Linked DNA regions of Elephas maximus indicus. The protein of the gene in region 2 interacts with the protein of the main gene of each other region in a biochemical or structural test. Links are inferred from orthologs where the notes say so. Each region holds a gene or a part of one and is shown on either strand. Other genes may lie near its edges.

The links.
Region 1: the proteins of CLTC (region 2) and TOM1L1 form a complex in vitro, tested with the Homo sapiens proteins (2 studies listed by BioGRID and IntAct). The link is inferred for Elephas maximus indicus from reciprocal best matches to the Homo sapiens genes CLTC and TOM1L1.
Region 3: the proteins of CLTC (region 2) and ARRB2 form a complex in vitro, tested with the Homo sapiens proteins (3 studies listed by BioGRID and IntAct, with this or other methods). The link is inferred for Elephas maximus indicus from reciprocal best matches to the Homo sapiens genes CLTC and ARRB2.
Region 4: the proteins of CLTC (region 2) and CLINT1 form a complex in vitro, tested with the Homo sapiens proteins (2 studies listed by BioGRID). The link is inferred for Elephas maximus indicus from reciprocal best matches to the Homo sapiens genes CLTC and CLINT1.

What each region holds. Positions count from the first base shown.
Region 1 is NC_064837.1:39,179,166-39,186,989, forward strand, and holds the start of TOM1L1 (TOM1-like protein 1), read right to left. Parts: upstream 3,012-7,824; 5' UTR 2,909-3,011; coding exon 2,851-2,908; intron 203-2,850; coding exon 118-202; intron 1-117. UniProt on the Homo sapiens protein: Probable adapter protein involved in signaling pathways. Interacts with the SH2 and SH3 domains of various signaling proteins when it is phosphorylated. May promote FYN activation, possibly by disrupting intramolecular SH3-dependent interactions.
Region 2 is NC_064837.1:34,475,621-34,482,723, reverse strand, and holds the start of CLTC (clathrin heavy chain 1), read left to right. Parts: upstream 1-4,095; 5' UTR 4,096-4,400; coding exon 4,401-4,442; intron 4,443-7,103. UniProt on the Homo sapiens protein: Clathrin is the major protein of the polyhedral coat of coated pits and vesicles. Two different adapter protein complexes link the clathrin lattice either to the plasma membrane or to the trans-Golgi network.
Region 3 is NC_064837.1:14,365,952-14,372,942, forward strand, and holds the start of ARRB2 (beta-arrestin-2), read left to right. Parts: upstream 1-3,977; 5' UTR 3,978-4,072; coding exon 4,073-4,095; intron 4,096-6,991. UniProt on the Homo sapiens protein: Functions in regulating agonist-mediated G-protein coupled receptor (GPCR) signaling by mediating both receptor desensitization and resensitization processes.
Region 4 is NC_064820.1:174,388,484-174,395,800, forward strand, and holds the start of CLINT1 (clathrin interactor 1), read right to left. Parts: upstream 3,023-7,317; 5' UTR 2,827-3,022; coding exon 2,786-2,826; intron 1-2,785. UniProt on the Homo sapiens protein: Binds to membranes enriched in phosphatidylinositol 4,5-bisphosphate (PtdIns(4,5)P2). May have a role in transport via clathrin-coated vesicles from the trans-Golgi network to endosomes. Stimulates clathrin assembly.

The DNA.
Region 1 (7,824 bases), about 4.7 Mb from region 2:
TGCCCCTTGGGGATGATGAAAATGCTCAGGAAAATTAAAGAGTCTGCAAGAGAAAACGCACTGTGGTTCTCACGCTTCTTAGCAGAGGCAAGTAAATGAACAACACACTGTACTCACCCATCCTGGACAGTGTTTATTATATCACAGATGTGCATGAACTGGCCCCAGTCTTCAGTTTGAACTCCAGCAAACGTAGCCTTTTCTGCAAAGAAAAAGCTGTTGAGACTGGGCTACAACAGAATAAAACATGCCTGGTCTTCCTGAAATAACCTGCATGGGGTTAACTAGCAAGAACCATTAAACTGATAGTAACAGAGGGCAAGGGACTTTTTTTTTTTTTTTTCTGTCTGAACAATTCCCAGTAAATTCAGGCATCAATCAGAACTCAAGTTCAGAATGCTGATGTTGCAACAGTAATGAGTGACCGATTAATAAATACTGTGGGACCAACAAAGACTGCAGGGCCAGGCTGGCTGGATCTCCATCTGCAAGTTCTGGCAGAGAGAGAAACTATGGCTTATTGAATATTTACCTACAAAGTGAACTGCACAATGGTAAGTATTTTATCTTATGCATCTCATTTAACCCACTTTTAGACATGATGAAACAGAGTTCAGAGAGGTTAAGGAAATTACACAATACAAGGTAGGTAATGCAGCCAGTATGAGGTAGAAAAAGGATTTAAACCTATGTCTTATCCCAGGTTTTTGTTTTTTTATCATTATAGAGGCGGGGGGACGGAGCATGAGAGAGAGAAATATCAGAACTACTGAATTGGCCTGTAACCCTGGTGGCATAGTGGTTAAGAGCTCCAGCTGCCAACCAAAAGGTAAGCAGTTTAAATCCACCAGGCGCTCCTTGGAAACCCCATGGGGCAGTTCTACTCTGTCCTATAGGGTCGCTATGAGTCGGAATAGACTCCACGGCAATGGGTTTTTTTGGTTTTTGGTTTGCAGTAGAGCACGGTCACTCTCGGCACTTATACTAACCAAAGCTGTCCTGTACTTCTCCAGACATCTCCTTTAAGCATATAAAATGCTCTCTGTGAAGGGTGATAGAACACTCAACACGCATCAGTTTAACATCTTTCTTATAAAAGAAGAGAGACACCTCATCGCGAAAACACAAGATGCTGGGGGGTGGCGGTTAAGCAAAGAAAAGAATTAAAAAGAATAATGAAGGGGAAGAAAGAATAAGTGCCTGGTTGGAGGAACCCCAAAGCTCAGCCTGCTTCCCATCTAGGAAAAGAGCTATCTGAATTTGGCACTGAATGGACAAAGCTGACCAACTTCAAGATGTTAGGCACAAGCTCCTGTTTCTTCTGCCAGATGTTCCCCTCCTATTCCTTGTTCTTCCTCCCAACATCCTAGAAAACTCCTAATCACCCTTTGAAAGCCATGGCAGAGTTAATATCTCCCTCTTCTTAAGTTTTATGCATTTTGTGTTTTCTTGTATTGCAAAGATACTGTATTGTAGTTACTACAATATTGTGTACGTTTTCCCTACAAGTTTGTGCGTTCTCTGAGATTTGAGACCATGTCTTACCTTGGCCTCACCAGTGCCTAGTCCAGGTCCAGGCACATAGCTGGGAGTCAAATGTTTACGACATTAAAGAATTTATCAGAATTATGGCCGAGATTTGTGTCCTTGTGTACCACAAATGTTTAAGTGGTTTACAGGGTTCCAACTCCCAGTCGTCTGGGAAGATAGGCGAATGGTTATGGAGTGCAGTCTACTCTGCAAACAAGGGGTCGCCATGAGTTGGAATCAAATGGAGGGTAAATAGGGTTTTTTTTTTTTTTTTTTTTATTGCTGAAGTTACTTTTGCCTATGAAGACACCGTCTGAATATGTTTCTACTCAGGGCTCTTTTTAATATCCAACATCCAACATGGGGATAGCCATTAACAGTTTAGAAAGCTTTACCTCCTCAAAAAAACCCTGTATGATTAGTTACTTTTGCCCTCTTATAAAGATGTGGAAACTAAGATTCAGGTTAGGTAGCATGCTCGGTGCCACAGTGCGGTTAATTGAGCTGGGACTAAAACTCTTCAAATCTGTGCCTCCTTATTGTAACTACCAAGTTCTCAGGATTTCATCACCCGACTAAGTTCCCGACACCATGATAGTCCTACCACACCCGGTTCCTAAGGGAGGAACCAGAGAGAAGCGAGAGAACCGAGCTGGTCAGGTAAAACAGTACAGTCACAGGCTTCTCCTTCCGCATGCTTTATGCGAACTCCAGCCACGGGAGAAATGAGTGAGGCAGATGCCTGGTGGTCCCCTAGTGGCCTCTGTAGCCATCCTGTGGCCCCAGACCTCTCCTCTGCGCTCCCTTCACTCCACAGCTGAGCATTTTTATGCTTTTTGTTTTCTGAGAACACCAACTCAGGTTGCATGAACTTGGGGCCAGATAAACGGTTTGGAGTGACCTGGCTTTCACAGACATGTCTCATCACCTAACCTCCCTGAGCCTCCTTTTCCACATCGGTCAAACGGACAGAATATCGGGCCCGCGAGAAACGCACTTTATGAACAACCTTTCCCTGGCAGAGAAGTTTCTGGTCACTCCTTGTAGAGACCCAAACTCCACTCCCGAATCCTGCGCTTCACCTGTTTTGTTTCTCTCCAAAGAGGCATCACAAGGAGGTAAATTTTGAAGAGCAGGTTCTGGGAAGGGTCGACAAGACAGAATTGTCTAGTAGGGCGCCGGGTGGAATGTGGGTGCCCTGGGAAAGTTGCGGGGCGGGGGGAAGGGGAGAATTCCCTCAAACCTGGACTAACTCGGTCTTTCGCAAGCCGACAGTGGAGTAAAGCGGAAAGGGTTCCCCGACCCCCAAAGCCTCCTTACCTATGAGGTGGCCCAACGGGGTCCCGTAGGGATCCCGGTGACTCTTCCCAAACGCCATGGTAGCGCCAGAGAGCCGGGCCCAGGAAATCCGCCTCCACCGCCCTGCGGCTCCCGACTCCACCCGCTCGGTGGCCCTGGCTCCTCCTCTTCGCCCGAACGCTCGCGGCGCTCGGGCCCCGGCTCGGGCGGAGGCGGCGCGTCCTGCCCGGCAGCTGCGGGGTGCGGGGCGCCGGCGCGGGCAGGGACCCGGGGCGGGGCCGCAGAGGCACTCTGCGCACCTGCCGCGCACCCGGCGGGACTGCGGGGAGGCAGCGCCCCGCGTGGAGCTCGCGTGACTGACGGGAGTGCCCGCTCCCGACCCACGGGCCGGCGGCCCCAGAGCCACAGCTTGGGAATTAGCCACCCGGGCTGTGATCCCGCCGCTTCCTGGGTAACTGTTGTTTCACTCTGTGCCTCGTTTACCCTCCTCTGTACAGAGGGAAATACGGGCTCACACAAATCTCAGGATTATGAGAATTAAGGGGCGGATGTCAACCGCCTAGGTCAGTGCCTGGCACCCACCAAATAAATACTTGACCACCGAGTGAATTTAATAACTCCAAGTATTTACCCCGCCGCCCCAAAGATCCGGGAGGGGAGGTGTGTTCCCTACCTTTTATTAAGCTGAAGGAGAAGGGATTGGCCTTGGGAGCCTCCCAGGTGTCAAGGCCCTTTTTTTCTCTCCTGTTTCCTCCAGGGACCATAGGGCGCTGCCAAGCAAACTATTGGTTTTTAACACCACCTCCTGGGAGCTGTGTTTTCCAGCCTGGTTATGAGAAGAGGAGAGGGGCTTTTCTTTGGCTCAAATAGGGAGTATGTTTGGCTTTAGGGCTGCTTTAGAAAGTAATTGAGTTTGAGAGACCCAACCCTTTCCTGCAGCTGCCCTTTCAGAACCTGAATTTATTTCCTTTTCCTTTGCACCCAGTTGACATCGGTTTGGAATCTCCAGGGAGGCCTGAGCCTGCTAGGAAGTGGGGTGTCTGTCTCCCGGCAGATGCCGATTAGCCTGAAGATGGGCTCATCTATGCTGTAGGTTCTCGCTTCCTGCAGTCATCTCAGGCCCCGCCCCGCTAGTACATTTTTGGACCTGGAAATGGTGGTGAAGGAGAAGAACGGCGATCTAGTGTGACTGATGTTCCTGGTCTTATTTATTTTAATATAGAGGTCAAAGCTCACTGCAGTGCACTCCAACCAAGGAAGGTGGCTCCCTCCCATTACCCCTTTTTTTATCCCCCCATAATTCTATTTTTAATTTTTCTTGACCTAAGTGAGCCACTACCAGGGATTCTGTAATCTAGAATGAAACATTTTCATTGTGATGGTATTTCTCATAATGGGATTAGCCCTGTTCGTAATTAATATTCTCCATCTGCTTACCTGGGGTGAGTTGCGGTTTAAGATGATACTGTTTATCAACTTCCTTAGTCATCATTGCAGTCTCTGCTGACACTGTTCAAAACCTCTTTTGTGACATCACCAACCTAATCTCTATTCCATGTTATAGCCTCTAGTAAAACATTTTGCCTTCTCTGCATCCTATAGTCAAGCAACCTTAAAGAGAAAATCAATTTTAGCTTAGGTTGGTGTTGATATCCAGTGGCCTTCCATCAGGGAATGGGAACAAGGGAAGAACCAAACAGACTCTGAAACTTGCTTTTGAATGTAGAGTAGCTACAGTGAATGGAAGAAATGATGAAGTAAAAGAGCTGAACGGAAGACTTCAAAGGGTGTCTCAAGAAACAGAGTGTTGTAATGAAATGTGCCAAGACCTGGAGTTAGAAAATCAAAAGGGAAGAACACACTCAGCATTTCTCAAGATGAAAGAACTGAAGAAAAAATTCAAGCCTCGAGTTACAATTTTAAAGGATTCTATGGGCAAATGATGAATCGACTTGACGGTACTGGGTTTGGGTGGGATGGGCAAATGGAGCCCTGGTGGCTCAGTGGTTAAGAGCTCAGCTGCTAACCTAAAGATACGCAGTTTGAATCCATCAGCCACTCCTTGGAAACCCTATGGGGCAGTTCTGCTCTGTCCTGTAGGGTCACTATGAGTGGGAATCGACTTGAAGGCAATTTTCTTTTTTTAATTGGCAAAGTATTGAATGATGTGTAAGAAGCATCAAAAGCAGATGGAAGGAATACAGAGTCACTGTACAAAAAGAATTGGTCTACATTCAGCCATTTCAGGAGGTAGTATATGGTCAAGAACGAAGGATATTTAAGAAAGAAGTCCAAGCTGTTCTGAAGGCATTGGCGAAAAATAAGGCTCCAGGAATTGATGAAATACCAATGGAGATGTTTCAACAAACCGATGCAGTACTGGAGATGCCCACTAGTCTATGGCAGGAAATTTGGAAGTCAGCTACCTGGCCATCCGACTGGAAGAGATCCATATTTATGCCCATTCCAGAGAAAGGTGATCCAACAGAATGCGGAAATTATTGAACAATGTCATTAATGTCACACACAAGTAAATTTTTGCTGAAGATCATTCAAAAGCTGTTGCAGCAGTATACCGACAAAGAACTGTCAGAAATTCAAGCTGGATTCAGAAGAGGACATGGAACAAGGGATATCATTGCTGATGTCAGATGGATCTTGACAGAAAGCGGAGAATACCAGAAAAATGTTTACCTGTGTTTTATTGACTATGCAAAGGCATTCAACTGTGTGGATCATAATAAATTATGGATAACATCGTGAAGAATAGGAACTCCAGAACACTGCATTGTCCCATGCTGAACCTGTACATAGACCAAGAGGCAGTCGTTTGAACAGAACAAAGAGATACTGCATGGTTTAAAATCAGGAAAGGTGTGCATCAGAATTGTATCTTTTTGCCATGCTTGTTCAATCTGTATGCTGAACAAATCTGAGAAGATGGACCATATGAAGAAGAAAGTGGCATCAGGATCAGTGGAACACTCATTAACAATCTTCGATATGCAGATGACACAACCTTGCTTGCTGAAAGCAGAGGGGACTTGAAGCACTTACTGATGTAGATCAAAGATTACATCCTTCAGCATGAATTACACCTCAACAACAACAACAAAAAAGAAATCCTCATAGCTGGACCAATTAGCAACATTGTGATAAATGGAGAAAATACTGAAGTTATAAAGGATTTCATTTTACTTAGATCCACAATCAACACCCATGGAAGCAGCAGTCAGGAAATCAAACATCGTGTTGCAATGGGCAAATCTGCTGCAAAAGACCTCTTTAAAGTGTTAAAAAAAAAACAAAGATGTCACTTTAAGGACTAAGGTATGTCTGACCCAAGCCATGGTATTTTCAATTGCTTCATATGCATGTGAAAGCTGAATAGTGAATAAGGAAGACTGAAGAAGAATTTATGCCTTGAAATTATGGTGTTGGCGGAGAATATGGAATATACATACCATGGACTGCCAGAAGAGCAAACAAGTCTGTCTTCAAGAAGTACAGCCAGAGTGCTCCTCTAAGGAGCACCCCTCTAAGCAAAGATGGCCAGACTTCATCTCCTGTACTTTGGACATGTTATTAGGAGAGACCATTCCCTGGAGAAGGACATCATGCTTGGTAAAGTAGAAGATCAGTGAAAAAGAGGAAGACCCTGAAGGAGATAGATTGACTTAATCCCCATAATAACTTCATGAAGTCAATACCATTATTACTCTATTTTAGATTGGAAAAACTGAAGTAATTTTTCATAAGTCATATTGTTAGTGAAGGACTGTCTGATTCCAAAACCTGGACCTTCAACTTCTGTGCTATGTCACCTCTTGTGGGTAAAGCCGTAGATGGTAGATGGTACCCTTAACTGGTTCACTTTGAAAAAAGCAAGATTCTAGGGGACTGTACAAAATATTGCAAGTTCACGTGTCTAGAAGTTGACCTATCATCAGGCTTTCTGCAGCTAAGAGTCACTTTCATTTTATTTGATTTTGTTCTTACCACTAAAATTTTAGATTGTCAGAGCTGGACATTAGCTTAGAAATCACATAATTTCTAACCGCATCATTTTATAGATGAAAAAAGTGACACCCAGAGAAGGCAAGTGGCTGGCTCAAGACCATCCATCTCCTTACTGTTGGGTGCAGTCCCACTGCCAAACTGATAGCTGCTGCCCCATAGTGTTTTCTAGACTATAATCTTTATGGAAGCATTTCACCAGGTCCTTCTCTTGCAGAGCCACTGGGTGTGTTCAAATAATCAACCTTTGGGTTAGCAGCCAAGAGCTTAACTGTTGTGCCACCAGGGCTCCTATCCATCTCCTTAAAGAAAGGAATACAAATATCTTAACCCTGGAACAAATACTCTTCTTACTCTACCATACTCCTTTTCCTTATTTTAATATTTATATATGCCACCTCCCCCCATAGGATTATCTCTGACCTCTTTATTCTTTTCTTTTTTGATGGATCCAGTTCCAAACACCACCCACTCTCTGTCCCTGCACTAAGCAAGGGGCACAGTGGTCAACTTTTGCCTTCATTGCTGACTGTGTAGTAAGGATCAGCATGAATCCAATTCCCAAAGTGTGGAAATGGATCCTGTCTACACCTTCCCACTTCTCCATCCTTGTTGCTAGCCGCTCACAAGGCACACACACTCTTTCAGCCCCAGCCACCCCGACCTAGGTCAGAGCTCACATGTTAGAGGATGCCTTCTTTCCCACTGCCAAACAGGCAGACATCCGCCCCCGCTGGCTCTTGCTGCCCTGTGGGTTTGCTAATTTGCTGGAATGACTCACAGAATTCCCAGAAGAATACACCACACTTACAGATACAGCTTTATTACAATAAAAAATAGATACAAATGAAGAGACACATAGGGTGAGGTCTGGGAGGGGTCAGGGCACAGAACTTCCGTGTCCCAAAAAGGAACGCATCATCCTCTCCCGTGTATGGTTATGAATCAGGAAGCTCCACCTGAGCCTTAGGGCTCAGG
Region 2 (7,103 bases):
TCAGTATTCAAAAATGTTGGTGTAAATTAGATAATTCCTTGAAACTTTATTATTGAGTTAACCAAAATTTATTTACCAAATCACAGTCCTTTCTGTTCTAAAGAAGAGCGAATTTACTACCATAACGCTGCAGGTGTGCACTGGTAGTGGCAAAACTATCCCTAGGAGTGTGGAAAAATTTCAGTATTGCTGAGGGAACATGTGTGGGTAATGTGTTGCTTTGAACTGGAAATAGTAATAACTCTAGGAGATGAAAAGAGGCAATTCTGCATATTTAGAAAGGAGAAAAACAGTCCATAACAATCATTCCTATACCTTTACCCTCAATCACCATAAATTGGCCCCTTCATTCTATAGATCCTCTCAAGTTTGTAATTTTTGTTTTTGGATATGAAAAGGCATCTGACTCCCTGTTGATCATCAGGGTTATAACTCTTCTGAGTTTTTCTGTCCACAATGCTCTGTGCATCTCTACATTTGAAGAGGACCATCTTTTCTGAGATAACTTTTTAAGGTAATGCTATCAGCCACGCATCCCTCTGCTTGGGATCTGATTTCACCTATAAAAACAAAGGAGAGGCCTATACAGTGTGATAGATTGATTGCAGGTTAGATCCCCACAGGGTTAGTCTTAACTATTCACTAGGAACATGCTCAATCCTAATACAGATCTTATTGCCATCCATAACATTTTATAGAACTTAAAGGTGGAGCCCTGGTCCCTGGTGGTGCAGTGGTTTAGTGTCTGACTGCTAACCAAAAGGGTGGCAGTGCAAATCCACCAGCCATTCCTTGGGAACCCTGTGGGGCAGTTCTGCTGTGTCCTATAGGGTCGCTGAGTCTGAATCAACTGCACTAGAGCGGGTTTGGTTTTTTTGTCTTACAAATTAGGTTTAAGATAAGCCTGAACAGTGAATGATGTCAAGAATATAAGCTCAGGTCTACTTCATGCTAAAGTCCATTAAATTTTTGCTTTTTAAATGTTTCATTCATTTGAGGGAGTCTTGCCTATAATCAGTGCCTTGTACAGGGTCGCTATGAGTTGGAATCGACTCAATGGCACTGGGTTTTGTACAGGGCCAAAATACTGTGGGCACTGTAGATTAATACCTGAGCCCTAAAGGATATTCATTTTCTTACTGGCCTTTGATATGCTGCTGTTTATCATTTTTGAAAAGATAAAAGACCAGAGGGTATAATCCTACTGGGATTTGTATCAGTGGCTCTAGGGGACTGAAATGTTTAAATGGCAAAGCTACTTATCTTACTTGGACAATGCTAAAGTATATACCTCTTGGTTTCATTAAAATCTTAATTATCAACTATTTGGTGCAGTGAGTTGAAGTTTTACTTTAAAATTAATCTGTAATGTCTGAGAAATGCCTTTGTTTTGACTCATGCAATGCAGCTAGCCCAAGCTGTTTTTAAAATGTCAAGTTAAAAGGCATTATTAACCTTAGTGCCAGGGCTGCTTGAAGATAATAGCTACAGAGGAATCCTACAATGAAGGTTTTTTTGAGATGTCATTCCCATTAGGAATTAGTTCCTGGTATAAAATAAGGAGCACTATAAAGGTTTGCTGTATAGGTTTTGAGAAACTAGCACTCCTCATTCATGAGTTGGAATCGACTAGATGGCACTGGGTTTGGTTTTTTTAGCACTCCTCAAAACAGACCAAGCAATGTAGTTTTTGCTAATGGCAGTTGCTGTGACTGACGGTAAGGGCCTACTGTTGATGAACATTCTGGTTAAAAAGTGCTTCAAATTTAAAGAGTCGACCATTTATTTAACATGGTACCTTGCTAGACCAGGGTTATGATTCATTCATAGCAGCAGTCTTATTAAAAGACTATGTGATAGTTGGGGAAAAAAAATCTGGGTCGCAGGGTTTGTTTCCTGGCTTATTTAGGTATTGCTGTAGTAACTGTTAACAGTGCCTCAGCCTTTCGGGTTTCTACAGTAGGGATTCTCAACCTTTCTCCTGTCTCTACACCATTAAAGAACAGCATAAAAAGCATGTCTTATTACCTCACCCAAATTTTGATCTTTAAAAGGCATAGTTTTATTTTTTTTTAAATGTTTACCATCTGGACCTTTTTACTCTTGAAAAAAATTGGATTTGTTTATAGTGCTCAAAATGCACTAGTATACTGCAGTCTATTTTTTCTTCTCAAATTATTTCTGAAAATAATGCGTTCATTAGATTTCTGTGTATGATGACACCGCAGTCACTTTAAGAGAAACTCAGTACACTTTTTTTGTTAGATACTCCATACTAAGTATCCAAGATAAATCAACTGCTTTTGGGATTTCAAATATACTTTAAAATTACAGGGTCTGTACGAAAATGCAAGACACTAATAGAAGAAAAAAATTGGTAGCTGATTCATGATATATAGCTCTTGTATCCAAGAACCTGAGACTGAAATGATTAAGCTAGTGCCTTTGACTATAATAAAACAGTAGCTCCCTTAGATTTCTGAGGATTGATCTACTTCCAAAAAGGATTTAAAGCAGCTATTAGACTCGTAGTAGAAAGATGCTTTCAAATGTTGCAGAATACACATCTTCAAGTATTTGGTTTAACAATACAAAACGAAATTTTGCTCAGCATAGATGTTCTCTCTTGTAACATGGTGGCAAGGCTTTTCTTTACAAAACAGTCTCTAATCACTTTCTTACCTACCACACATTCTTCTCTCATCCTTAGTGAGACAAAAACAGCTAAAATGAGTAAGGAGACTTTTCACACTAAGCAAAACTGCTTAATATAGAAAACAAAATTATAGTTTTATGTTTAAGTGAAAAAGGCACTAAAAAAATTGTGTATTTGAGTTTTTCTCGAAAAAATAACATCTTACAAGAAATGAAAGCCACAGAAGCCTTTATCCTTTATTGATTCAATTATTAAATACTATTAACACCTTATACGTTAGCAATAAGGTGCTGAGGTTATTATTAATGGACAATGAATGCTGTAGATACCTTAATGCTGTTAGAAGATACGATGCCCCGTCTTTGAAGCATTTATATTCCCAAACATTGCTAAACCTAGAGGCACTGTTGAGGTGGTCCCACTGAAATACATGGCTAATAGTTCATCCCTTTCCTCCACGCGTGGACGTTAACCTCACGTAGGAAAAATCTTTCAAGCACCCGTAACTGAATAATCCAAATCTTTGAGACTCAGAATGATTTGACGTAGCTAAAAAGAAAAGCTTCTTGCTACAATTTTGGTCAGACCTTCTAGCTTATTTATGATATTCAAACTCTTTACACTGGACTATTTGATTACTAAACTAGGCGGATAGATGTCCTCCAAAATGTCCGCAGAAACCTTAAGAGAAGCTATCACAAGGCCAGCTGGAGATACCTCATAAATGGCCTTCACTGTCCTTTGAGCCAAATATTTAACACCCGAGGAGAACGCTGGTTCTAGTTAGAATCCGCGCGTCATGTTCTCCAACCGTCAGAAGCGCGTGTGTAGTGATTGCGAGGATTTAAAACCCCATTTCGCTGCCCCAGTCCTGGAGATGTAAGAAACCACCCACTATAAAAAACCAGGCGGGGGAGGAGTGCGGCAGCTAGCTGCCAAGAGAGCGCTCTGCGGGGAAGCAGTTTCCCTGAGTCACGGACAGGGTGGGAGATCGGGCTCATCAGCCCACGCCTCGTCTTCGTAAGGCACCCAGTTTAAATAGGCAAGGGTCACAGGGGAAGGAGCAGCACCCGCCGCTCCTTAAGGTGGCCCAACCGCCACCTCATTCCCAGGAGACTCCGCATTTCCCGAGAACCCGCTCTTCATTCCGGCAGCGATCAGCCGACCCTTCCCTACCAGCGTCACGTGCGCCCGGAAGTATGTGGGTGGGACTTGAACCGCCCACGGAAATGACGTAGTTGCCCCTTGTCGCATGATGTGGCAAAATGCAAAAAAAAGGGGGGGTAGGGAATAGAAGGAGGCTGGGGGAAAGTGATGAGTCCAAAAAGTAGTCCCTTCGGTGCTTATATTAACACCCGTGTAGCATCAGTACGCGAGGCTCTCGGCGCACTGCGCCCCTAATTCCTCCGCCCGGCAGTATCGCGGCACTCTGTGGAGGGGTACATAAAGCGGAGGGGGTGAGGCGACTTGGGCGGAGTTCTGTCGCCGGGATCCCTCCGCAGGGCTCAGCCGTTTCCGGAGTCTGCGCTGCGCCCGGTTCCGCCATTGCGGCTCTCCTGGCCCCTGGAGCCTCCGCCCCCGACCCGAGCTCTTTCGTCTGCCTGCCAGTTTCCTGCGTCCCCGGAGAGTATCCTACTGAGCCCAGCCTCCCCCTCCCCCTTCTCCTCCTCTCCCTTGGAGAGCCCGGGCAGCCGCTGCCCCGCAGTCCCAGTGACAGGAGGAGACCGTACCCCCCGACAGCGCCATGGCCCAGATTCTGCCAATTCGTTTTCAGGAGCATCTCCAGGTGCGGCTGGGCTCGGGCTGGTGAGGGCTGCGGAGAGGGTAGGAAGGAAGGAAGAAGCTGGAGTATAGGCCTAAGCAGAAAGAGCGGTATCGGGGGGTGGGAGTGGTGGGTGTCGGTGCCTGGGATAGATGGAGGGGGGCCTGTCTTGGAAAGCTTAACGGGTTAAAGAAATCTTGTGAGGCTTGGTTGGAAAGGACAAGAGTCAGGGTGCAAAGGGCGTCATTGCTAGGCCTGGATCTCAGGATCTCTCTACCTTGCTTCCTGGATGGGAAGAACTGCATGTACTAACTCCCCCCTCCTTGTTTTTTTCCGTTCATTCATTTGGGTAGGTGGATGGGGAGAGATTTTCTCCTGTTTCTCCTGGAGCATGGATTCTCATTACCCCTTGGGCCATTCGGGGGCTGTCATTTCTCATTGCCTTTCTCCCTCTCCACCTTCGTGTCTGCACTAAGGAGTTGTGGGGCGGGTGGGTTGGGGAGGAGCAACCTTTTTTCTTCCTCCCTCTGCGGCTCTCAACTGGGAAAGGCACCTTCCCCCGGGGTGGGGGGCGGGGGGGAGGCGGCCTTGTATCTTGCCTTCCCTAAGGCAGTAGAAACAAGGTCACAGAAGGAGTTTAGAATGGGGGAACGTATTTCTCAGGGCGGTGTCAATCTCAGGGTGCTTGGGGTCAAGGTCCCTGGGGGAATTAGCCTTTTTCCGTTTCTTGATTTCTCTAGGAGTGGTGTGTCTCTTAGCCCCTCTTTGGTTCTAGGAGGTAGGGAAGGAGCTCTTCAGAGGTTATTTTGGGGTCTGCTGGAGTCTAGCAGATTGTTGTGCGCTTGGCGTGAGTAGCTCCTTCAGGATTTTTTGGAATTAAAACAGCTATGGGGATAGAGCACACCTGCTTTGAGACGTTTGTCCAGGGTTGTTTGGTCTGTAATTGGCTTCCCTTTAGTAGGTTCTAGAATTTTTTCCCTACCGTGTCTTATCCTGGAGGCAACGTAACTGTTGTCTTATCTGGCAGCATGTCCTGGCTGGGCTAGGCAGGTGATCATTGGAGGGCTTGACTGAATTAAGCCTTTTGAGCTTCTGATTTTCCAAGTTCACCAATCCTGCTTCTATCTAGTTTTCATTTTGGCTGAAATAATTCATTCATATTAACTTGTTTTCTTGTCACATACCCTCTTAAAGAGGTCTGCCTAAACTCAGTCTTCTGAAGAGCAAGTTTCATACATAATGTTAGAGGACCCAGTGGTATACACATAACACTAATATTAGTAACCTATTGGATATTTTTCCATTCAAGGCAATTTTATTTACTTTCTTCCATTTCATTAACAAGAATCCCCGGAGGATTCTTGTTAATAAAAAGGTTTAATATTCAAGATGTGAGTAACATAATTTCATAGTTCTTTACAGCTGTTATCATTTTAACTTGCATCAAGAAATTCTTTTTCTTTAAGACTTGAATTGTAATGAATAATAAACCTTTACCTGTAAAACTAGTTAAATAGTGTACTTCCTTCAGTCATCGGTAGTTTGCAGAATAATTCATCTGAAGTAATGGAATATACCTCGGCAATAAAACCACTATATTACAAAGGATTTAAAAACGTTAAGTAACAGAATGGACATGGAGAAATTATTTTTTTATGTTCAATCCAGTTGCTGTGTTTACCTCTGTTAAAGGGGGCTGGTAATTGAATATGGAGGGTTAGAAAAATACTGGTTTTAGGTGTGCGGAAACCGCAGGCTCTTCCTCACAGTAAAGTGCATTTGAAATAAGCCTTTTTGTAGATGAATGTTTGTAAGTCATACACAAGAGAAGCAGGTACAGCTGCTGCTTAGTTTACATGGCTGAGGCATATCAGTTACCGCTGAGTTGAATTCAACTCATGGCAATCCATGATATAACCCACTAGTAAATCTTTTTGGTTGACCGATGGTGGTTTGAGTAATAGCTTATTTTTATTAAAGAGGAGACAAGAATTGTTAAATGATTGCACAAAACAGAATCCAGCCTTATCACCAACTGAAGACATTTAATACAGGCCTGATTTCTAAGTGGTCTGAAGTTTCTCCAGTTACTTGAGTGAAGCCATTTCCTTCTCAAATAATTTGAAAGTTTTGAGTATAAAGTAGCTTTGTGAATATACTTTAAAAAAAAAAGATATCCATTTTTTGGAGTGATAAACTTAGCTATTGTATGCTCGAGCTGATAATGATTAAATTGCAGAGAGAGTCAAATTATCAACCTCTTCCAGGATAATTATCTCCTGACTTCTCATCTTTATCCTCTCCTTTTTTTTTTTTAGTTAATAAGAATTATTTTAATTGGCAACTTAAGTCTTTGACCTCTGACCCTCTGCCAGCTTGCTAAATAGCAGAAAACTTTCTGAAACGCTTTGGATAAAAACTGGGAACAAGAAATGAGGAACTTAAGTTTGGAGCTTTAGCTCGTTATAGCTTCAAAACCTGAACTGTAAATGAATTTATTTTTGTAGGCCTTAACTACATTGACCAGTTGAAGGATCTGTCATTGAGGGTTGGATCTGCGTCAAATGAATATTAATATTTTAAGTTATGCGGTTTTTTTTTTTTTAAGGATGTTTAGGCTGATAAAAAGCCTGTTGCTGTTGAGTCAATTCCAGCTCATAGCGACCCTAGAGGACAGAGTAGAAC
Region 3 (6,991 bases), about 20 Mb from region 2:
GCTGCAGGGAGATGCGTGCACAGTCACGGCTCCCCTGCCCCTTGCTGCGTGCGTTAAGGGAGAGAGTCACACCTGGCAAACGTGAACAGGGTGATGCCACCTTGAGTCAGGTAGGGGGAGGGAGGGAGAGGCTGGGGGAGCAGGACAGGACGGGACGAGACGCACAAACCACTGGGCAGGTTAAGGGATGGAGTCGCACCTAGAGGATGCATGCACAGAAGTGCTGCCTTATGCAGATTGGGGGAAGAAAGAGGGAGAAATGGGTGAGCTCTCTCACAGTCCCGCTGCCCTCCACTGGGCCCTTGGTGGGGCGAGTAGGTGGCAGGCAGGCACACCTGCGGGGGTGCACCTAGTCTTGCTCATTGGGTAGGCAATGGGGTATAGTGGGTGGGGTTAGATAGGATGGGGGAAAGAGAGTAGGCTTGTATTGTGCTTCTCCAGTCGGGCAAGGTAGTTGGTGTTTGGGACCCTCTGCCACCTCTGATCAGGAGGATGAGTTGAGGGGGAGTGCGTTCCTCCAGCTAGGATACACGGGTGCCAGGGCACCATGTGTCTGCTGCGGCCAGCGAGTGGGACCTGTCGCCTCTCAAGTTTGAGGAAGAGGGCCGCCCAGGGACCAGTTGGGTGGGAGAGCTCCCGTGGACACTCCATGGGTCCACTGCCTTGTGTGCACCACTCACCCCTGAAGTCAAGAGCTGCCACACCTGAGTATCCCAGTTCCGGATCTGGCACTCTACCTCTCTCTGCTTCTTTCTGTGTGTGTCTATAGAGGTTCTCTGTCCCTCTTGGGAAAGTTGTGAAGTTGCCTTGCTGTTTCTTCACCCAGGGTCACTGCTGGTCTTGTCCTAAGTTAGCCAGGGTGAGTCAGGATGGCTGGCTGAGCTCCTCCGTGCCGTGTTACTCCTCTTTTGCTGCTTTTCTTATTCCTTCTAATTGGTGTTCAGTTCAGTTCTTAGACCTTTTTTGATGTTCAGGGTTCCTGGATTGTTATCTGCTCCTGTTTCACTTGTTTGTTTTAGGTCTTTGGTGCAGGGGGATGTTATGGTGAGTGACTGCACCTCCATTTTGGCTCCACCTCCTGACTTTCTTTAATACCTTTCTAAAGTTGTCTTTATTGTTGTTGTTGTTAGTTGCCATCCAGTCAGCTCCAACGTATGGCAACACCATGTACAACAGAAGGAAACACTGCCTAGCCCTGTGCCATCTTTACGATTATTGGTATGTTTGAGTCCATTGTTGTGGCCACTGTATTTCAGAAGCAGGTTGCCAGGCCTTTCTTCTGAGGCACCTCTAGGTGGATTCAAACTGCCAACATTTCGGTTAATAGCTGAACACTTAACCTTTTATGCTACCCAGGGACTCATATGGCCACTGTATTTTGAGTGCCTTCCAACCTAGAGGGCTCATCTTTTAGCACTATATTGGACAATAGTCTATTGTGATACATAGGGTTTTCTGGGCTCATTTTCAGAAATAGATTGCCAGGCCTTTCTTCCTAGTCTTAGTGTAGAAGCTCCACCGAAACCTATCCACCATGGGTGATCCTGCTGGTATTTGAAATACCAGTGGCATAGCTTCCAGCATCATAGCAATACTCAAACCATCACAATACAACGAACTGACAGATGAGTGGTGGGGCTTTATATTAGTTTAATATTTAATACAGTAGTTTTTATGTCATGCAGACCACATTACCCTTCTGTCCCAATAACACTTCAGATATATAGCATTAAGTTCCAGTCATGACCCTTTGATCAGGGTCAAATTTGGATAAAAGTGATTCATGATTCCAGAGACTATGGCCCCCAGACACCCTGCTAACTCAGAAATGAAGCCACTCCTGAAGTTTACCCTTCAGCGAAAGATTAGACAGGCCTATAAAACAAACAACAGCACACGTGAGGAACGTGCCTCTTAGTTCAATCAAGTATATGAGACCAAATGGGCAACAAGTACCCGAAAACAAAGGTGAGAAGGCAGGAAGGGACAGGAAACCTGACAAATGGACACGGAAAACCCAGGGTGGAAAGGGAAAGAGGGAGAGTGCTGACACATCGCAGGGATTGTGAACAACATCACAAAACAATTTGTGTATAAATTTTTGAATGAAAAACTAATTTGCACTGTGAAATTTCACCTAAAACACAATAAATTTTTTTAAGTGATTCATGAGTCTGAAAGATATGCATGATCTAAAGCTTGAAAGGGGTGAAGAGCAAGCTTAGAACTGAGGGGTGATGGAACTGAGTGGGAGCACTCGATGGACACAGCCTGTTTTGAACCTCAAAGACGTTATCAGAAGCTGCACTGTTGTGTGTGTTACCGTTTCTTACATGGAAAAGAGGAGGGAGAGGTGTAAAGTTAGTTCATTGGGCGGGAGGTGGTATAGGAAAGGAGCCCTGGTGTCACAAATGGTTAAGCGCTCGCCACTAACCGAAACGTTGGCAGTTCGAGCCCACCCAGCGGCTTGGTGAGAGAATGACCTGGCAATCTGCTTCCGTAAAGATTACAGCCAAGAAAACCCTATGGGGCAGTTCTGCTCTGTCACATGAGATTGCTGTGTGCCAAAATCGACTTGACGGCATTTAAAAACAATAGTATGTGAAAAAGGAGAAATACCTTACCTCCATAACCCAGAAATGTCCATAAATCCATCATCCTCCTCCAAGTTCAGGCACTTTTACCCCAGCATGACTCTTCAGTCGGGCTCCTCTTTCTCCTCCCAGCTAGCTCTTTAGTTCAAGTGTTCATCATCTCCCCTTTACTAGCTTATCTATAGATAACTCCTCTCCCTCCTCATATTCTTGCCCCACTCCCTCCACCCTCCACTTTGCCCACTATTATCTCCCTAAAAAAATAAATCTCATCATCCCTGTTTTCAAAACTGCTACTGGTTCCATGTGTCCTGAGGAACCTCCTTCCTTCACCTGCTATACAAAATTCTTCCTAACCTGTTCAGTCTTCCTCTCCAGCTTCATTTCTCCTGCCGCTAAACCCACTTAACCCCACACTTTACAATAGGATATGCTTTTTGCCCTTTGCCTTCCTCACTTTCTATCTCTTTGGAATATCCTTTCCCAGTTTCTGCCCATCCTCAAGATTGTCTCCCAACGCCCCTCCTCTGGACAGCCTGCAGTCCCTTCACCCCGTCCTGGCCAGAGGCTGTTACTTTGCATAGAATTCCCGGGATCATAATACCTGTTGATGTGTCTCTTCGACAACACTAGGAAGGCAGGGCCATGTTAATTCATGCCTGGGTCCCCACCGCCTAGTGACAGGGACTGGCACAAAGTAGGATGATGGATGGGTGGGTGGGTGAATGGAAGCTGGGATAGGGAGGTGGAAAGAGAGGGGTAACCCGAGAAATGAGGAAAAGGAAGCCCGCAAAGAGCAAAGACAGACACCAGGGGGAGCTGAGACACCACCATCAAGCCGGAGGGCGGGGCAAAAAAGGCTGCACGTTCTGGGAAGAGCGGGTAAGCAGCGCGCAGTAAGGTAAGTAACGCGCAATTGTAAGCGCGCACCCACGTGTGCACCCCCCCATGCCCCTTTCCACAGCGTGCTTCCGCGCTTTCCACCGCCCGCACCACCCACCTCGCCTCCACCGCCGCTAAGAAAGCAAACAAAGGGGAGGGGACCCCTGCAGGGTCGGGATGCCGGAAGCCAATCAGAGGGCTCTCATTTCCTGGAAGGTGGGAACCTTGGTTTAGGGAAACCCAATGAGTTTCTAAGGGAATGTGGAGGGGCGGGGAGATGGGCGGGAAGGGCGGGGTGGGCGGGGCAGGGACCGTGCCCGCCGGGGAGAGCTCCGGGGAGAGGATGAGGCGGGGGCAGACCCAATCACCGCGCATGTCTGTGAGGAGAGGGCGGGCAGCGCCGCGGAGCGCGCGATCCAGGCTGACGCATCTGGTCCGGGTTCCCGGGGGGGGGCCAAAGGAGAGGGTGGAGGAGGAGAAAGAGCGGAGGGCGCGCCTGCGCAGTGGCGCGGGGAGGAGCAGGGACCTGGCAGCGAGCGAGGAGGTTGGGAGTGAGCCGCGAACCGGGCGGGCTGCGGGCGGCGGGCGTGCGCACCATGGGGGAGAAACCCGGGACCAGGTAAGGGAGGTGGAGCCACGCGGCGGGGCATGGGCGGCGGCTCGGGGCGGGTGCCGAGATAGTCCTCAGACTAGGACACCGGGGAGAGAATCCGTGGGGCCGGGCGCCTGGGTCCCTAGGGGACAGCCATCCGGGGCCGCACGCCTAGGTCCTCCAGGATAATGGGGGCGCATGCCCGGGCCCCTGTAGGAAGTCAGGACTGAAGGGGACCAGGGAAGTGGTGTCCGGGTTCTCGCAGGCATATGGGGGCCGGACGCCTGGGTTCTCTCGTGCAGGCTGCGATGCAGGAGCGGAGGAAGGAGGAGCAGGTGGCCAACCCTGAGGGGTAGTATTTGGGAAGGCTGGACGTTGGGAGGGGTGCGCCCCAGACTCGTGCAGAGCCAATAGAAAGGCTCGTGTCCAATACCCCACAGGCAGTTGTGCTGCCCCCACCTGTCCCAAGGGCCGGGTGGCTCTGCTTCCAAACTTCTGCCTTCCCTGGGTTGCTAGGAGCAACAGCTTCATCATGGGGGAGCGGAGTGCTTGGCGACCCTCCCTGATTCTGGGCCCTATCCCTTGGCCCTCGGGTGGGGGTGGGCAGTGTCTGCCCTGGGCACGCCATCCACTCCCCGGATGTTTTCTGTGCAATCGAGGCTCTTTCTCTTTACTGACACCCCGAGTTCTCTTTTTTGATCTCTAGCAAAATCCACTTCCTGTTGTGACCCAACACCCCCAAGTAGGCAGGTGTGAATCCCAGAGTCCCTGGGGACCAGGAGCAAAAGAGGAAGGGTTGGAGCTGAATATGCCTCAGCCCAGACGGGAGCAGGAATGCAGGCCAGGTGCTACCTAACCTGTCAGCTTGTTCTGTAAAATGTTTTTCAGCCCCAGCACTCCCCACCCATTGAGTATGAGAACTCAGGTTTCTGAGTATCAAGTCCACAAGAATTGGAGAGATATGATCAGGGGGAGGGAGGACTGATGTCCTGGGTAAGGACATCCACAACCCATAGAAAGGGGAAGTTGCTGACTTGAGGCCCCCAGTTTCCGTTATGTGGTTCAAGGACGGATGGACTACAGGGGGACTGCTGACTTGGCACAATTACCCCCACCCCCAGCAAATTCTGGGCCACAGGAAGTAGAGAGAATGGCAGGAAGTGCAAGAGGCATCTGCTTCTACTGCACCCCCACCTTACTGGACACCTCCCTGGTCACCCCGCACCCACCTCCTTGGCCAGCCTCAGTATACACACACTGCTCCTCCCTAGCCTGGCAGGAGGTGGCTGGGTTAGGATCCAAAGGGCAGGTGCCCCGCAGCTACTCACAGGCGATTGCTCCAGAGCCATACTCCAGTTGGCCACTTGGTTGTGGCTGTCACAGCCCTCTGCCAGGGCTCCTCATGGGAGGAAACACTTGAACAAAAAGAACAACCAGAAGCAAGTGAGGTCAAAGTGGGGGGAGAGCCTGGATGATGCCATAGCAATCAGCCCCCAAGTTGGGACTAGAGGTAGAATGCTCGTCTTAGCTGCCACCACATCTATGCTTTGTTCTCCTGGATTGGTTGGAGGTATCTGGGGCCTCCCTGCCCTTACAGCTTGGACAACTCGGCGTTTTGGGGAAGAAGGGGCAAGTGAACTTGTTATAGCAGAAACAGACAGTGGGGTTGGAGGAAGGATGGGCCTTCTGGCAGGATTTCAGCTTCCACTATCTCAGGGCCCTTTCCAGGGATAGCTGCTGAGGCCCGGTAGATTGGAAGGAGTAAAGTGGTCAGGCAAAAAACAGGCCTACAAGTGCCAAAACCAAACTTCCCTACCCTCCCAGCAAGGGCTAGAGTCCAGGCTTGTGTTGTTTCAGCAGCTGGGGGGCAAATCCCATTCAATTCAACAAACGATTAATGCCAATTACAGAGGCAGGACGGCATAGTGGTTTACTGATTAAGAGCATGGACTTGGGGCCAGACTGCTTCAGTTTGTATTTAAGTTTCACCATTTACTCTCTGTGACTTAGGTAAAACAGTTGACTGTTCTGTACCTCAGTTTCCTCACCTGTAAAATAGCGATATTAGGATTTTCATCATTGGGTTGTTGAGAGTATTAGATGAGATAAACGCATGAAACACTTCGAGCAGCACTGGGCATGGCGCCTTCACCCAATGAGTGTTAGCGAGCATCATTATCTTCATCATCTGGCTGGCATTGTGCTGGGGATGCCTAAAAGAATAAGGCCCCTAGTGCTCACAGTTTATCCAACAAGAGACAGGTGAGACACGCTTTGTGTGCTATCTCACTGCAAGTAAAGCATGAACAGTGTGACAAGAACCAAAAAAACAGAGTGACCCAGGGTCTTGACTGGGTTGCTTCCCAAAAGAGGTGACATCTGAGCTGGGTCATGAAAGATAAATGGGCTTTTAAGCTGCTGAGATCAGAGATGGGGAAAGTTGGAGGTTAATGGAGTAGGGTCAGACTTGGGTAGTTCTTATGGTGGAAGCCATTTTACGGGCAAAGCCCAGGTCCATTGCTCTTCCAAGTTGGGGCTGTCGTTGGTGCTGGGACATCTGCCCCTTTCCCCATGAGCAGGGGGAGACTAGAAAAGATGGAAAGAGGGTTAGGTGTTACTCAAACACTGCTGCAACCTGCCCATTCAGGTCCTCTGGGAAAACCTGGGTGGTTCCTGTGGCAACCAGTAACCATTAACTGTGGGGTAAGGGGGGCTACTGAGGATGGACCAAGGATAAGAGAAGGGGGATTTGCCATGGCAACCTGCTTCATGTGGTTGCGATGCTGGAAATATTAAGGAGTTGATTACCTTTTCTTCTGGGAATAATGGGAGGCGGTGGGGCTGGGCAAAGCCCCTGGGCAGGAATCCTAGGTGAGCTCTGCTTCCTGGGCTGGGAAGGGACAAAGTCCTGGTGTGGAGGTCC
Region 4 (7,317 bases), on a different chromosome or scaffold from region 2:
TTCCTTCTGAAGTAAAAATCACTGGGTAGGATATACGTTAAAAGTCCTAGTTTTCCGGAGTCATGGGTTGCACTTACCTATTGCAAAAAGCATTTAAACATAACATTTGATTATCACATCAATTTTTTTTTAATTTCTCTTTTCAGCCTAAATTATCTCTGGAGGATAACAATTTTCCAAAATTTATCTGCTACTGTGAAATACTAGTTCCAATTTATTTCTTCTTGATGGACACTCACTTCTCCAAATAACCACAAAGTTGAAAAAAGTCTTATTCCAGCCCAATCCCTTTACTTTACAGATGAGGAACCTAAGGTATGGAGACTCATGTGATTCTGCCTCAAATCACACATAGCTGCGTCTGAGGCAGTGTCAGAATTTGAACCCAGGTCTCCAAGTTCCCTAACCAGTGCCTTTTCTATCCCATAAACCTCAGTCTATTAACCCAAGCCCCCAGAGGAGTCCTCAGTCAATTCGGTGTTCCCTCATCTGCAAGTTCCCTCCTCTTCTTATACCCTTGACAATCAGAGCAACCATTCTATGGATCTGCTTCCCCTCCATCATGGCATTTTAAGGTGCACAGTCTAACTGGACACAACGCCACAGGTACATGGTTCTGTAGGATGCTTACATTTTTTTGGAAAAATTTCTTCTCTTCCTGCCAGTGAAAGATGAAAATTAAATCCTGAGTATTCACCAGTAATATAACCTCATGTTCTAATCTTAATATCATATGTCAGACACCCACAAAAGCTTTGGTGGCAACATTCTTATATGTTCTTGAATAAGGTGGTTCAAGTCTCCATTCTAAATTGAGCAGTAAAAAAGAAGATAGAAGCTATTTTTCAACATTGGCTCTTTCATTAAATGACCTGGTAACTATTTATATGGCAAATTTAACCTAAAACCCTTGAAAATTAATAGCATAAGGTAATAAAGGCAAATGAGTATGAAAGAACAACAGCAGGAATACTGCCTTGAATTCTGTCTCCTAAAAAATGTACAGCCCCTTTAAATTTCTGGATATTATAAAATTAGGCCTTTAAGATAACAAGGTGTTTCTTACTGGTTTTCTTCTGCTGTCCCCTGCCTTAGAACGGAAGCGGTAGTTTGTAGAGATTCCTTTTGGACTTCTAAAAACTACTTAAGTTGATATCCTAGTCTTCACAGAATATATTAAAAAACAACCAACGAACCAAGATCTAGAAAAAGCCATTATTTTATCGTATCTTTGGTAAGTAAAAGCAAAGAGTAAATAAAAAGCAAAATAAGTCCAAAATAAGTATCTGAGGCCTTAACGGTCAAACGAGTAGTTGAGAAAGAAAAATGATTAAAGCAAATCACTTTTCAAACAGAATCTCTCTCTTAAGGAAGTTTACCTAACTCTTAATGACAGAACATCTGTTTTGGTTATCAAAAATGTAACGACCTAAACATATGCAATCTATGCCCTTACTCCTTAATCCTCACAACAACATTTTAAGGTAGGTATTTCTCATATTCATCCTGTACCTGAGGAAACTGGGACACTGTGAAGCGAAGGAATTTGTCCAAGGTTGAACCCAGCATGAACCCAGTTTTGTAGGTTTCGAAAGCTGTAGGCACTATATGGCCTCCTTGGTAGCATAGAAAATTTGGAAATAAGGTAAAATTTTAGGTTTTGTCTGATGCATTATTCAAGCCACCGTGAATCATTTTGTTTTCTGTTATCATGAAAAGCTCAAGTTTGCCACCTATCCTTCCGGAATTTAGGCTGGGTGAGTGGCACAAATGAACTGTTTTCTCTCTACTCTTATCACATAATCAGTCACTAAAACCCATAAGGAAGGGGAGTAGCTAAATTCTTTAAAATTTATTTCCTGCTGCCACTGTTATACCTGATCTTCTCAATTCAAGCGTTATTAACCCTAACACTTGAATTGAGTAGATGTAACACTGCACTAAGACACTAAAGTTATCATTTACATCTTTTAAGGAAATAAACTGTGCATTAGTCATTATACCTGTCAGAGAAGTTAAAAAAAAGACCAACAGGATATAAATCTGGGTTGTTTTCTTCTTTAAGAGAAATTCCTTAATGATTCCTTATTTTAAACCAAATGGAATAAGTGGCCCACCAAAAGTGAAGTATAATAGAAAAGGAAACAGAGGAAAAGAATCACAAGAAGTTATCTGGTGACCCACTTTCACTACTGTTAAAATAGCAAAGGATGATTCTCCTCTGAGTAACTTCAGGCGGACCTCAAAGGCCACTTGTTACACCTACCACCCACTCCAGCAATTCCAGGTTCATTAGGAATGAAAAGAAACCCAGCAAGATAAAGGACATACTCCAACCAGGCCTGAAGTCTCCCCACCACATCCTGAGGGCTAGAGGTCCAGAGCAAAGCTTCCCCAACCCCCAAGCCTCCCAGGTTGTCCAGGAGGCAAAGCCCACAGACTGGGGCCAAAACAAGTCCCCGGGCCGGGGCAGTGACCCAGCTCTAGACAACCCTGCCCGCGCTGGGGGTGGGGGCAGGGGAACTGGTAGGTGGTGGCAAGAGCAAGGAGCCCTGGATAGGAGAAAAACAGGCTAAGTGGATATTTTGAAACGAGCCAGGGTCCCTTCCCAGCCTCGCCGATCAGGACGAGGCCCGGGGCCGGGGAGAGAGCTGGCCGCCGCCATGATGGGGCTGCCCGAACCGGGGGGCGTAACGCGAGAGGCCCCACACGCAGGGCCAGCGTCCCTCTCCCTGCCTCCCCGCCCGCGCGTGGGCCACGGCCACAACTGTCCCCCGATACTCACGCTTTGTCCACCAGCTCCCGCACCTTCCACATGTTCAACATCTTGCCCCGCGCAAGCTCGGCCGCCGCCTGCCTCTCCTGCTCCCCAGAGACCCCGGAGCACTTCCGTGCTGGGGCAGGTCCAGGTCGGGGTCGCCGCCGCCGCCCGCCGCCTCAAACTCCCCCAGTCGGCTCCTTCCCTTGCCACAGCCTCGGCGCCGCCAGTGACACGTCGGGACTCGGCGGCAGAGGCGCTGCGTGGAGCGGAAGCGCCCGACTTTCCGTCCGCTGAGCGCGGAGCACGTCGGAACTTGTAGTTTTCTGTGCCCACAGAACGGGCCCGTTGCAGTTGAAAGAAGATCTGGGGTACTAAGGTTGAGACGATTTCTCTTCTACTCCCTTTCTCCCCACTCAGGCAATCAGAAATCCTTGGAATGAAGGAAAAAGCAGAGTTGGCCGACGACTTATCTTCTTTGTATGCGTTCAACAGGTATTTATTGGACGTCTTTTCAGAGTCCGCTCTATTGCAGGTACGAGGGATGCAGCAGAGGACAAAGCAGAAAATCCTTACCTTCGTGGAGCTTAGATTCTAGACGGGGAGATAGCTAAAAAAAAAAAGAACGAGTATATATTAATAAAAAAAAAGTTGCCATCGAGTTAATTCATACTCATAGGAACCATACAGTACAGAGTAGAACTGCCTCATAGGGTTTTCAAGGAGCGGCTGGTGAATTCGAACTGCTAACCTTTAGGTTAGCAGTGAGCTCTTAACCACTTTGCCGCCAGGGCTCCAAGTATATATTACCAAACCAACAAACCAAACCCAGTGCCGTCGAGTCGATTCCGACTCATAGCGACCCTATAGGACAGAGTAGAACTGCCCCCATAGAGTTTCCAAGGAGCGCTTGGCGGATTTGAACTGCTGACTCTTTGATTAGCAGTCGTAGCACTTAACCGCTAGCCACCAGGGTTTCCAAGGTATATGTTAGAAAGTGTTAAATGCCATAAGAGAAAATAAAGCAAGGAATAACTCCTTCTTACAATTCTGGAACACCTGCAACGATAGCGGAAATAACATAGAAGACTTATTATACCATGTGCCAGGCACTTCGCTAAGCTCTTTACACAGATGATCTCATTTAATCTGCACAATTTATTTTGTGCCATACACAGACCTCTGCTTTTTCCAGATTAGTTTGTTTAATCTCACTCTTCAAAAAGAAAAGGAAAGGAAAGCTTTGAAAGTTTGCACAAAGGCATACAGTTTGTTAAAAGATAAAGCTGGGGATCAAACCCAGGTGGCTGAGCCAGAGCCTCGGCTTCTGATTCCTCTGCATGTCAACCAACATGCTATAAGCTGGTGTCAGAGTTGAATTTTTCACATCTACCATGTGTTACAAGAAGGCAGCCATGGCAACTTTCCCTACAGAAAGATGGCTTTTCATATTACAACAGAACACACCAACACTAAGGACTACCGGTGTTTGAAGATATCCCTTGAAAATTAGTGATCATCTCACCTGAGCCAGGGTTCTGGCAATCCCTTGTGTAAGATGTACAGAGCAGTCCTCTGTGGAACAGGAGCCAGTTTAGACAAAATGACCCACAAAACACTGGGATGCCGTATCATAATCCCTCTTAACAAATCCACCTGGACACAGAAGACAGAGGAGCAGCTCAGAGAAAGGACAAGCAGAAAAATCTCTCAGATACAACTTCCCTTGGGCCTTTTGGCAGAGGAAAACTCTAGTAAGCTGAGAGGTTCCTTGCTTCCAAGGAAAGGCAAATGACTCCCCAAGTAGGTGAGTGGGTAGGATGAGTCACACCCCTCACTTGGAGGAAAGCTCAGATTGAGGAGATGAGAGGAAATCTGGATCCCAGTCCTAGTTCTGCCCCTTACGAGCCACTTGACTTTGGGAAAAATACTTAATGTCTCTTGGTGACTAAATGTCCTCATTTGTGAAGCAAGGATAACAGTCTTTGCCCTTCCACCTTACAGATAATGGGTATAAAAAAACCCATTGCCGTTGAGCCGATTCTGACTCATAGAGAGCCTATAGAATAGAGTAGAACTGCCCCATAGAGGTTCCAAGGAGAGCCTGGTGGATTCAAACCGCTGACCATTTGGTTAGCAGCCTTAGGACTTAACCACTATGCCACCTTACAGATACAGGTGTAGCGAGGATCAAATGAGATAATGGGTTAGTTAGTGTAAGATAGCAGTTCTCAAAATGTGGGCCCAGTGTCAGCAACATCAGCAGCCCCTGAGACCTCGTTAGAAATGCAAATTCTTGGGGCCCTGCCCCAGACCTACTGAATCAGAAACTCTGGGGGTGGAGCACAGCAGTCTCTGCTAAACAAGTCCTCCTGGTGATTCGCATGCACATTCAAGTTTCAGAACCACTGGTGTAGGATCATGCTTTTCAAATGTAAAGTATTACTATGTTATGAGTAATGACTATAAAGAAGTATGATTGGCATATGTGTCCTTTAATAGATGCATTGCTGTATTTGGTTACTAATATCCAAATATACTTAGCTCTCTGGCCCTCAGTTTCCTTTCCAACTGCAAATTGAAGAGGTTTTCTAAAATCTCTTCTACTCTAATTCCGTGATACAGTGGGTTTATACTTAGGTAGCCACTGGATGTCCTTGTTAGATACTTTACTATAAAGCTCAGAAACTCAGCTCATTCTCCATGGGAAATGGCTATAGAAAGACAACACTGTATATATGACACACCCAAGAACTTGGCAGGTTTATGTTCTTAAAGTGTAATTATGCACACATAATCCTTTAAATGTTTTGTTGCAATGGTGTCATCACTTCATTTCTCACTTATCCATCTTTGTCAATGTTTATGTTAATGGTGCAAGTGACTTTAAAGCCTGTTTGGTCCAACTGCCTAAATTTTATAGTTCTTTTCATTCTATAAATATTTATGGCACACCAACCTGCCAGGAGTGGGGAACTCAGTATAAGACAGAGAAGGCCCTGGCTTTCTTAGAGCTTAAATGTTGTTGGAGAAAATAGATAATAACCAGGGACATGTGTGATAATTGCAGAGAGTAAGAAATTAAAAATAGAATAAGCTAATGCAATAAAGAATGATGTTAGAGGAGGTTAACATTACAGAATACTTGTAACTTCTTTGAGGACATAATATTTAAACTGAAGCTTGAATGATAAAAGGAAACTAGCCATAAAAAGATCTCCAAGAAAAGCGTTCTTGGTGGAGTGAATAGATAAAGGATCTGATTCACAAAGGAGAAGTGAAATTGATTGTGTCTAGTATTGGAGCTGAGTCCCTGAGTATGCAAACAGTTAAGTGCTTGGCTTCTAATCAAGAGGTTGTTGATTTGGGGCCCTGGTGGTGCAGTGGTTAAGAGCTACGGCTAAAACCAAAACCAAACCCGTTGCTATCGACTCCACCTCATAGTGACCCTGTAGGACACAGTAGAGCTGCCCTATAGAGTTTCCAAGGAGCACCTGGTGGATTTGAACTGCCAGCCTTTTGGTTAGTAGCTCTAGCACTGAACCACTGCACCACCAGGGTTTCCAACTAACCAAAATGGTCAGCAGTTCAAATCCACCAGCTGCTCCTTGGAAACCCTTTGGGACAGTTTTACTCTGTCCTATTGTGTCACTAGGAGTCAGAATTGACTCCATGGCAATGGGTTTGGTTTTTTTGGTTTAAAGGTGCCTTGGAACAAAAGGCTATGGAGCACAGTTCTACACTGACACACATGGGGTCGCCATGAGTTGGAATCAACTCGATGGCTTTTTTTTTTTAAGTCATGGAGGTAGGAGTCCCTGGGTGGTTCAAAGTGTTAATTGTGCTCAGCTCCTAACTCAAAGGTTGCTGGTTCAAGTTCACCCAGAGGTACCTCTGAAGAAAGGCCTAGAGATGTGCTTCTAAAAAATCAGCCACTGAAACCCTGTGGAGCACAGTTACAATCTGACGCACATGGAGTTGCTGTGAGTTGAAATTGACTTCAACAGCAACATGTATCGTCATGGAGCTAGATAACAAAAATCCCAAATCAAGAACACAGAACCCATGGTCCTCCAGGTCAAGCTATCTTTTTTGTGTTACATCCACTTAATTACTAGAGGCAGTTCTGAAAGAGGTTTCAATAAGACTTTGGGGTTAAGGCCCAAGAGAAGCAAGTTGAAAGAATTGCCAGGCAGAAAAGTAAAACAGTAGAAATCAGGACAAAGCCTATCTCAGAGCTTTGTCAGCATAGTAGTGCTTAGGTAGACATAATGGAGTTAGAGAGGAGGGTAGGGAGGGGCGGGTAAAGATAAACAGAGATAGGTAGAGAATTGGGGCTTTCAAATAAGAAGTTTGTGTTTCCTGCTGAAACAACTTCTAGCTGAAGTTCAAAGAATGGAATATAGTCAGTAGAGATAAGAAAGAGAAACTCTTTTGCATATTTAAGACCTCAGTAAGTTAACTTTCAAACCAGTGGGTCCAGGGTACAGCTGCAGATTGAGCCTGGTACAAAAATAACCACCTGGCCCCCACCCAGGCTCACAGCAGTTCACAATCAA